2 linked regions of the Caenorhabditis elegans genome follow. The protein of the gene in region 1 interacts with the protein of each later gene in a pairwise test. Each region holds a gene or a part of one and is shown on either strand. Other genes may lie near its edges.

The links.
Region 2: the proteins of asna-1 (region 1) and cee-1 interact in a two-hybrid assay, tested with the Caenorhabditis elegans proteins (2 studies listed by BioGRID).

Annotation. Positions count from the first base shown.
Region 1 is NC_003281.10:8,893,196-8,897,399, forward strand, and holds asna-1 (ATPase asna-1), read left to right. Parts: upstream 1-1,886; 5' UTR 1,887-1,893; coding exon 1,894-2,327; intron 2,328-2,375; coding exon 2,376-2,634; intron 2,635-2,842; coding exon 2,843-3,052; intron 3,053-3,180; coding exon 3,181-3,306; 3' UTR 3,307-3,459; downstream 3,460-4,204. Other genes in the region: lnkn-1 (Protein linkin), read left to right, coding at 1-22, 81-242, 549-680; ZK637.4 (uncharacterized protein), read left to right, coding at 1,018-1,086, 1,139-1,206, 1,256-1,309, 1,365-1,461. UniProt on the Caenorhabditis elegans protein: ATPase required for the post-translational delivery of tail-anchored (TA) proteins to the endoplasmic reticulum. Recognizes and selectively binds the transmembrane domain of TA proteins in the cytosol.
Region 2 is NC_003281.10:4,910,527-4,914,633, forward strand, and holds cee-1 (Get4 family protein), read left to right. Parts: upstream 1-2,172; 5' UTR 2,173-2,177; coding exon 2,178-2,343; intron 2,344-2,386; coding exon 2,387-2,603; intron 2,604-2,654; coding exon 2,655-3,015; intron 3,016-3,059; coding exon 3,060-3,210; intron 3,211-3,259; coding exon 3,260-3,453; 3' UTR 3,454-3,607; downstream 3,608-4,107. Other genes in the region: F26F4.9 (Glutaredoxin domain-containing protein), read right to left, coding at 53-136, 231-372, 417-568, 1,481-1,641, 1,683-1,835, 1,897-1,912; F26F4.2 (PDZ domain-containing protein), read left to right, coding at 735-806, 854-958, 1,006-1,140, 1,189-1,422; rars-1 (putative arginine--tRNA ligase, cytoplasmic), read right to left, coding at 3,731-3,837, 3,895-4,107.

The sequences.
Region 1 (4,204 bases):
AAGTCCAAATTTTGTGGATGAGGTAATTTCATATCTTCTAGATATTTTCGTTCAATTATTCCAAATAATCTTTTTTTCAGTTGAATATTGCCATTCCGAAATACGCAGATCGTAAAGAAGATTGGAAACACAGTCTTAAACAGATTGTTCCAAATTCTCGGATTATTGTTCTCCCACCATCGGATCAATATCCACACTGGACGAGTCGGCTCTACGTCACACCATCAGCTCTTATTGTTCAGGTAAGATTATTATGGAGACGTGGACATACGCTCCAAATGGGAACGACGGAAATTGATAAAATAAAATTAAAAAATAAAAGAAAAAAACTTTTCATTTTTAATGCATTCTTTAAACATAATTTCGGCATAAAAATCATTAAAACTAACGAAAAACATTTCAAAATGGTTGCAAATACGAATTCGTTGAATTCACGGGTTTGCTGCCAAATAACTAACGAGACCCATGGCTCGGGGGCGGAGCGTAGTCAGTTGGCCATGGGGCACATTTCCACGTCTCTATAATAAATCGATATTCTCATTTTCCAGAGTCTTGCCGTCATTGCTCTCGTATGCTGTATGCTTCTAATGGTTGTCGTATTCTTACATTATCGAGAGAAAAAGGAAGATCGATACGAACGACAACAACAATCTCATCGATTCCATTTCGATGCCATGTAGATTTTTTTGTGAATTTTAAGATCATATCTTCTTGAAGACGAGATCGTTTTTTACGGGTTCCCATCATTTGTCTCTTTTTTTGCATATTTGACCTTTTGAAGCTTCATCCTGTGTTTAGATTTCCCATTTCGAGCTGTGATTGCACGTCGGAGTATTTTTAGAGATCAGCTTTAAATCCGAGTTTTCCTTGTTTGAAAATAGAAACATTATTTGAAAACAACTGTAATATTTATTCCACGTGACCCCTTACCCTCCATCACTCTCTTTATAAACTGAACAGAGACTTTTTCGTTTTTTTGACGAACTATTAAAATAAAACTTTTTGAATTTTTTCCTAATGAAGTCAAATCCAAAATATTTTCTAATGAATGACGTGGAGCGGCAGAGCAAATATTCGCCGAAATATGTGAGTTTTCTTCAAATTTTTGTTAACTTTAACAAAAAGTTTCCAATTTCAGGTTCCAAACAACAGTCTGAAAGAGCGAATTCTGGAGTTTTTGGATTATTACATTGCGCCATTGAAACTGTAAGTTTCATTTTATGGAAAATTCTCATAAAAAACTCAATATTTTCAGGTATCTTCTGTCTTACCCGATGCCGGATTGCCTTTGGGACAATCGAAAATTGAGGTATTACATCGGAAAATCGTTGCAATGACATGGAACCCACATTCATTTTTTTCAGATTGAAGGCCAGTGGTGTGCAAGTGACTCCGAGCTCCGAACCAGTTCATATCGATGATCGTCTAATTCACATTTCACAGAAACAACCGTCCGAATGATTTTTCGATTTTTATTTAATAAAGTTTTAGAAATTATTTCATTTTTTTCAAGTTTTATCCGTGTTCTAATGGTTTTCTATTACCTTATTATTATTTCTTCAGTTCTCCAAAAAAAAATATTACCCAGACATAAAATGTTGAGGTTTTGTAACCTGGGTCTCGCCCCGAGAAAATTTTGTTAAATGCAGAAAGTTGTGCGCCTTTGGAGTACTGTAATAAACACTTTCGGAATTTTCATAATCGAATCAAAAAAGTTATTTATTAAAGAACTTAACTCCTATCAAGTCGAGAAAACACTGTAGAAAAACAATAAAAATTTGTATCCATTTTTACTTGAAAAATTAAAAAAACTGCAAAAGGCTAGACATTTCTTTTTAAAATTTCAAACTTTAAATGCAAATAAACCTAAAACTTCTTTTTTTTTCAGAAATAATGTCGGATCAGCTGGAAGCCTCTATCAAGAATATTCTCGAACAAAAAACGCTAAAATGGATTTTTGTGGGTGGAAAGGGAGGTGTCGGAAAGACGACATGCAGTTGCTCATTGGCAGCTCAACTCTCAAAAGTTCGTGAGAGAGTTCTTCTCATCTCCACCGATCCCGCCCACAACATTTCTGATGCCTTCAGTCAGAAATTCACAAAAACTCCAACACTGGTCGAAGGTTTCAAAAATCTCTTTGCAATGGAAATCGATTCAAATCCGAACGGAGAAGGCGTCGAAATGGGGAATATCGAAGAAATGCTGCAAAATGCTGCACAAAACGAAGGTGGAAGCGGTGGATTCTCGATGGGAAAAGATTTTCTTCAAAGTTTTGCTGGAGGACTTCCTGGGATTGATGAGGCAATGAGTTTCGGGGAAATGATAAAGTGAGTGTCAATGATTCTGATTTTTAAAAAATCTATTATTTTTTTCAGGTTGATAGACTCTCTTGACTTCGACGTTGTGGTCTTTGACACCGCTCCAACTGGGCACACTCTTCGTCTTCTTCAATTCCCAACACTTTTGGAAAAAGTATTTACGAAAATTCTGTCACTTCAAGGAATGTTTGGACCAATGATGAATCAATTCGGTGGAATGTTTGGAATGGGAGGTGGATCAATGAATGAAATGATTGAAAAGATGACAACGACTCTAGAATCTGTGAAAAAGATGAACGCACAGTTTAAGGATCCTGTTAGTTTTTCAGATTCAAGTGATATTTAAAATTACTACGGAGATATATCACCCAGACGCGAAAATTGTCGTAAAATTCTGCATCTTGGTAATATGTTTTTTTAACCTTTTCAATTATATCAAGGGTAAATTCTAGCTTGATATATATTGAATTCAGAGATTTTAAATCATCAAAGTTTCTGCAGAGCATTCAAATATGTATTTACAGAATTGCACCACATTCGTCTGCGTCTGCATTGCCGAATTCCTCTCTCTTTACGAAACCGAACGACTTATTCAGGAGTTGTCCAAACAAGGAATCGATACTCATAATATTATTGTGAATCAACTTCTCTTTCCGGATACCGATGCAAATGGAACAGTTTCATGCAGAAAATGTGCATCGAGACAGGCGATTCAGTCGAAATACTTGACAGATGTGAGTTTAAATGAGAAGTTTGATAAATTATTAAATTAGAAACTTTGAGCAAATTAATATTGAATAACCACAGTGCATTTTTGACTCTGTCGTGATTTGCTAGATGCGGAATAAATCAATTTTTCCAGATCGATGAGCTCTACGAGGATTTCCACGTCGTCAAACTTCCACTTCTTGAGGCAGAAGTGCGTGGAGGGCCCGCAATTCTTCAGTTCAGCGAACGGATGGTGGATCCTGAAGCTAACAAAAACTAAACTAATTTGTTCTCCTACAAAATCAACTTGTTCTGTGGTTTTTTATGTTAAAAGATTCTTCCTATCCCATGTTTTTTCTCCAAAATTCCCTGTCCCCTTATTTCTCGCTTTATTGTGGGTGCCTTTTTCGAATCAAATGAATAATTTATGATATTCATTGTTTTTTACTTAGGATTGAAGTATATTTGGAACATAATTATCTTTCAAACTTCAGCCTGGCAAACTATTTTTGTCAAGTAATCATTTTAATTAGCTAGATTTTAGACGTAATTTCTTTCAAATAGTACCTAGTATTAGGCAGCCGACAGGTCATGGGACCAAGCAGTACATTTTTCCGACTGCTAGACTTCATCCGACACTTACCTAGATTCAGAGAATTCAATTTTCACACAACTTGTTAAAATCTCTAGTTTACGAGCTTGTTTTTAACCAGACTTATGGATCCTGAGAATGGAGGGCCATGGAGCCTCCATGGAGGGGATGGCAGTTGGAGATACAATGATTTTGGAGTAATTTTACCTTCGTATTATTTTTCATGTGATTTCATTTTCAATTCACTTAGCCCCGTTTCCTAATGTTCAAGTTGCTATTTCCAATTTATTTTCCTTGGTCCACTTCATATTCCTTGGAATTTTTTCTGCATTCAAATTACCAAATAGCCACGTGCAATATCCCATTCTCTGCAGTTTTGAAATTTGAATTTATACAATAAACATGAGTTGTCAAATATTCAGTCTTAATCTGATATTAGTTCAAATATATTCCAAATCAATTCCAAATATATTCGAAATATATTTCAAATATATTCCAAATATATTTAAAATATATTCCAAATATATTCCAAATCTATTCCAAATATATTCCAAATATATTTCCTATTCTACTAATCTTTTTCTCA
Region 2 (4,107 bases), 4.0 Mb from region 1:
GGGCATGAATAAATAATAATTACATGATCTCAAGATATCATCTCTCCAAAATTTATTTGACTTTATCCAGACCATGTGTTCTATCGTAGTTTCGTATACCTTCGAGGCCTCCAATAAACTCTCCGCACACGAATACCTGAAACGTTTTTAAAAATAACTACTTTATCTCAGTTTTGTGGTTAATAAAAAACTGTCGTTAAGAAAAGCGTTCGGAAAAATATGAAACTTACATATGGGGATTTTTTGGTTTTAAATCGATTTTCCATCACTTTCAATACTTCTTCACCAGGCCAATCTGACTGCTTATCATGCTCAAAAACTTGAAATTTCGAGATATCGAGTCGATATGTTGACACCAATTGACAAACTTTTCTGTAAAACCTAATGTTTTTTGTTGAAAATGCCTTTCATTATACCTAAACTCTGGACAGTTGCTTTCTCCAAAAACCACAATTGGCGCTGAGTCCGGAATATTCTCCACAATTTTGATGGCTTTCTCGTTTTTATTGATAATTGATGTTTTTAATACAGACGATGTTGATGACGAGTGGCCAAGTACGTTACAAGTCTGAAAATTTATTTCTGTTAATTTCAAAATTCAAAAAGAGTAGAAAAGAATTAATAAATAAATAAAAAGTTCGTTCCGTGAAGCTCTACAAACTGCGTGTTTGTTTTTTTTTGTTGTTCAATATGAAAATCTTCGATTGAAATCAGTTTGGATTTTAGTTTCAAAGATGGCGGATGCAAATGCAACGATCTGTTATTTGAATGGTCTTTCTCTTCATACCATCAATGAAGTCGAGAAGGTATGTTTTTCAATGAAATTTTCAGACTTTCATTCTAAATCATTCAGATTTTGCTCGCTTTGCCAAAGAAAGGGGACCGCTGTGAAGTGCAAGTGACCAAACCGTTGAATGGAACCATCGGACGTAGTACTGGGGATGTCATTGCTTCAAAGGTTCAGTAGATGCCGGCTCAATTTTTAATAAAATTGCAAATTTCTAGAGCATGCAGATCCATGATGAGCCAAGACCATTGTCTCTGTCACCGCCTCTGCAGAAATCTGAGAAATCTTCGAAGAGCAAGAAACTTTCCGAGTACAGTTGCATGAGTTCGACTAAGGAACAAATGGAGACTGTGGTATTGCTCTTCAAAAAAAGTCCCCAAAATAATAATAGTTTTTTGAAGGAAATTCGCAACGGTTCCAATGCTTCTGCGGCAAAGAAACTCCAATGCAAGGTCTTGACTGATCAAGTTCGTGTCTCGCCAATCGTCTCGTGCAACGGAGTGATTTTGGAGTTGGATGTTGAAGTCACAATTCCTGATCGTGAGGAGAAGAAGAAATTGAAGTTGGAGATCGAGTGCCCCGATTTTGTGCCAGCTCGCATCAAAATTGGCAACAAATGGAAGAAAATTGTTTGAGCGAAAAAGAGTACGATTTGGAGGCAATAAATATTTTGTATTTGATTAAAGTAACTACCTTTTCTTGTTCTTCATATTCTCGTTGCCTTTTTTCGGCTTCTTCTTTCAGTTTCTCTTCACGTTTTGATGTTTCAATTTTCTCTTTCTCGTCGTGCTCTCGTTGTTGTTTCTGTCTTGCCAATCGCATCTTATCGGCTTCTCTGTCTTGAACTTGTCTATCTGAAACGTTTTATTGATGGATAAATCTGTGGTTTTCTTACCGAACTTTTTCTGCTCGATAAGCCTTCGTTCTTCTTCTCTCGCTACCATTAAGTCATAAATATACTTCTTGAAAAGAATGTATATTAAGATCACAACAAAAACTGTCATCCATCCGTAAACTTCAAGAAACGCCCAGGTGCTTGTTCGAAGATCTATAATTATATCGCTTAAATATATGCTCAACAGTTGAACTATTGAAATTCTCGTTATTACCTTGAAGAGTACCCATATTGCTTTAATAAACGTTGAATTATAGCGAAAAAACACCAAAAATTGACAACTTGTCTTGTCCGAGAGGAGTACACGACATTCGGATTCTCGGCCGTGGCCTAGAATATTAGTCAATTTTTGTGCATTTCCACGATTTTTCAACCAGTTTTATTTAACTTTTTTTTCGTCTCTAAAACCACAAAATCGAAATAAAATTTTGAGTTTTCTTGTAAAATATCTTATTTGAAATATTCTGAATACATTTTCTCTTTTTTTGAGATCAAATGGACGCCACAACTCTTTCGAGATTGTCAGAGTTTGAAAAAGAGAAAAAGTTTTATGATGCTCTTCAATTCTACCGGACCAAGGTCACACGCAGTTTCCGATTGAAAAATGCAAATGAAGTGGCTATTCCACTCGTTAAACACGCACTGGAATTCTTCTTCAGAGGTTTGAAAACCAAAATAGAAAATCAAATCTTTTTTATTTTCAGAAAAACAATATCAATGCGCCATCGATATCACCACACAATATGCCGAGTGTCTCTCGAAAAATAACGTTGATCTTGGAGAAGAAGCCTTCAATATTCTTGCTGATAGCGTCTCAAAGTTCGCTAATTTTGCAGAGATTGAGAACGAGGCTGGAAATTCAGAACCCGAACAGTTGTTGAACACTGCACGTTGTAAATGTGTTGACTTGGCCATTCAATGGTAGGTTTATTTGTCGAGGCAATTAAAATATTATTTGATTATTTAATTCAGGACAAAGCAAAAAGCAACCACTCCGATTGAGAAGAAATACGGTTCCGCAGCCTTTCATACTGTTCTCGCCAAAAAGCTAGTTGCCGTCGATCATGTGGAACTTGCCAAAAATCATTTCTTGCTTTCCGATGACTTTAAATCATTCGCCAATTTCCTTCACCAAGAATATGAAAGCTTTAAACAAAAAGAGTCTGAACCAGAAGTCATTATTGTTGAAGCCGTTTTTCAGTCACTCTGTCTCGATCGTTTCCCATTTGCCGTATCTCTTTTCACTGAATACGTGGCTCCTGCCAAGTATCCGTTCACAAAGCCATTGCTCAATTTCCAGCACATATTATTTGACGTTATTGAGACGGAAAACGTGAGTTGAAAACGAACACTGACTTTTAAAAACTGTTTTTCCAGCAACCTCAATATTCGGAGCTCACCTCTAGCTATCAAACAGAATTGAAAAGGTCCCTCGCATTCATTGGATATCTCACGAGAATTGGGAAGCTCTATTTCGGAATTCGTGATAATCAATGCATGAGCGGCGGTCTGGGTGGACTTTTTTCAGGTTCGCTTAAAATTTTAATTTAAAAAAATAATTAACACATTTATTTTAGGACTTCTTGGTGGTCAAAAAGAGGAAGAAACTGCAACTTCTCATATCACTTCTCGGACTCCAGCTCGTCAAAAGCCAGCTGCCATGTCTCAACCTTCTCCATTCGGTCCATTTGGCGCTCTTGCTGGTGCACCGGCTCCAGCTCCAGTTCCAAAGAAAATTCAAAAAGTTGAAATGGAAGAGGATCTCGATTAAGTTTAGATTTCATGTTAAACTATACCTTTTCTTATTGAAAATTGCTCCTTATTTACTGGAAATATTCCCCGATTACCCCTTTTTGTTCCGCTCTTCTTTCATGTGATATTGGGTTTAACTGATGCTTTTTATTGAATATAAAAATTCGAGTTTATTGGTGATAATAGGATCCCACAGTGGAAAACGTTCTGAATAGATAAATACGAGCCGTTGCAAAAAATGAACAAATAATTAAGAAACAACAACAAACGGGGATGATAGAAGAAAACACCGGTGCTCACATCTTGTTGACTTCGCGAAGTCCGAGAATCTTGAAGCATGTTGACATGACTTTTCGGGTAACATCACACAAAGCGAGACGATGCATATGGACAAATGGTTTTTCTGAAAATAAGATTCCATAAATTATTTAAAAGGCTCGACATGTAATTACACACATACCTCCTTCCTTATTTTCAATAACGTAACACTCGTTGTAGAAGTCGTGGAACAGAGTGGCCAACTGATATACGTAGTCGCACATTTGATGAAGCATAAGACTGTCCAAAACAAGAAGAACACAATCCGAGAGCTTCAACAATTGTTTGGCGAGTTTAAACTCTCCTGGATGATCCAATGGGAGTGTTGGTGTACTCGCAATGTATTTGACCAAAT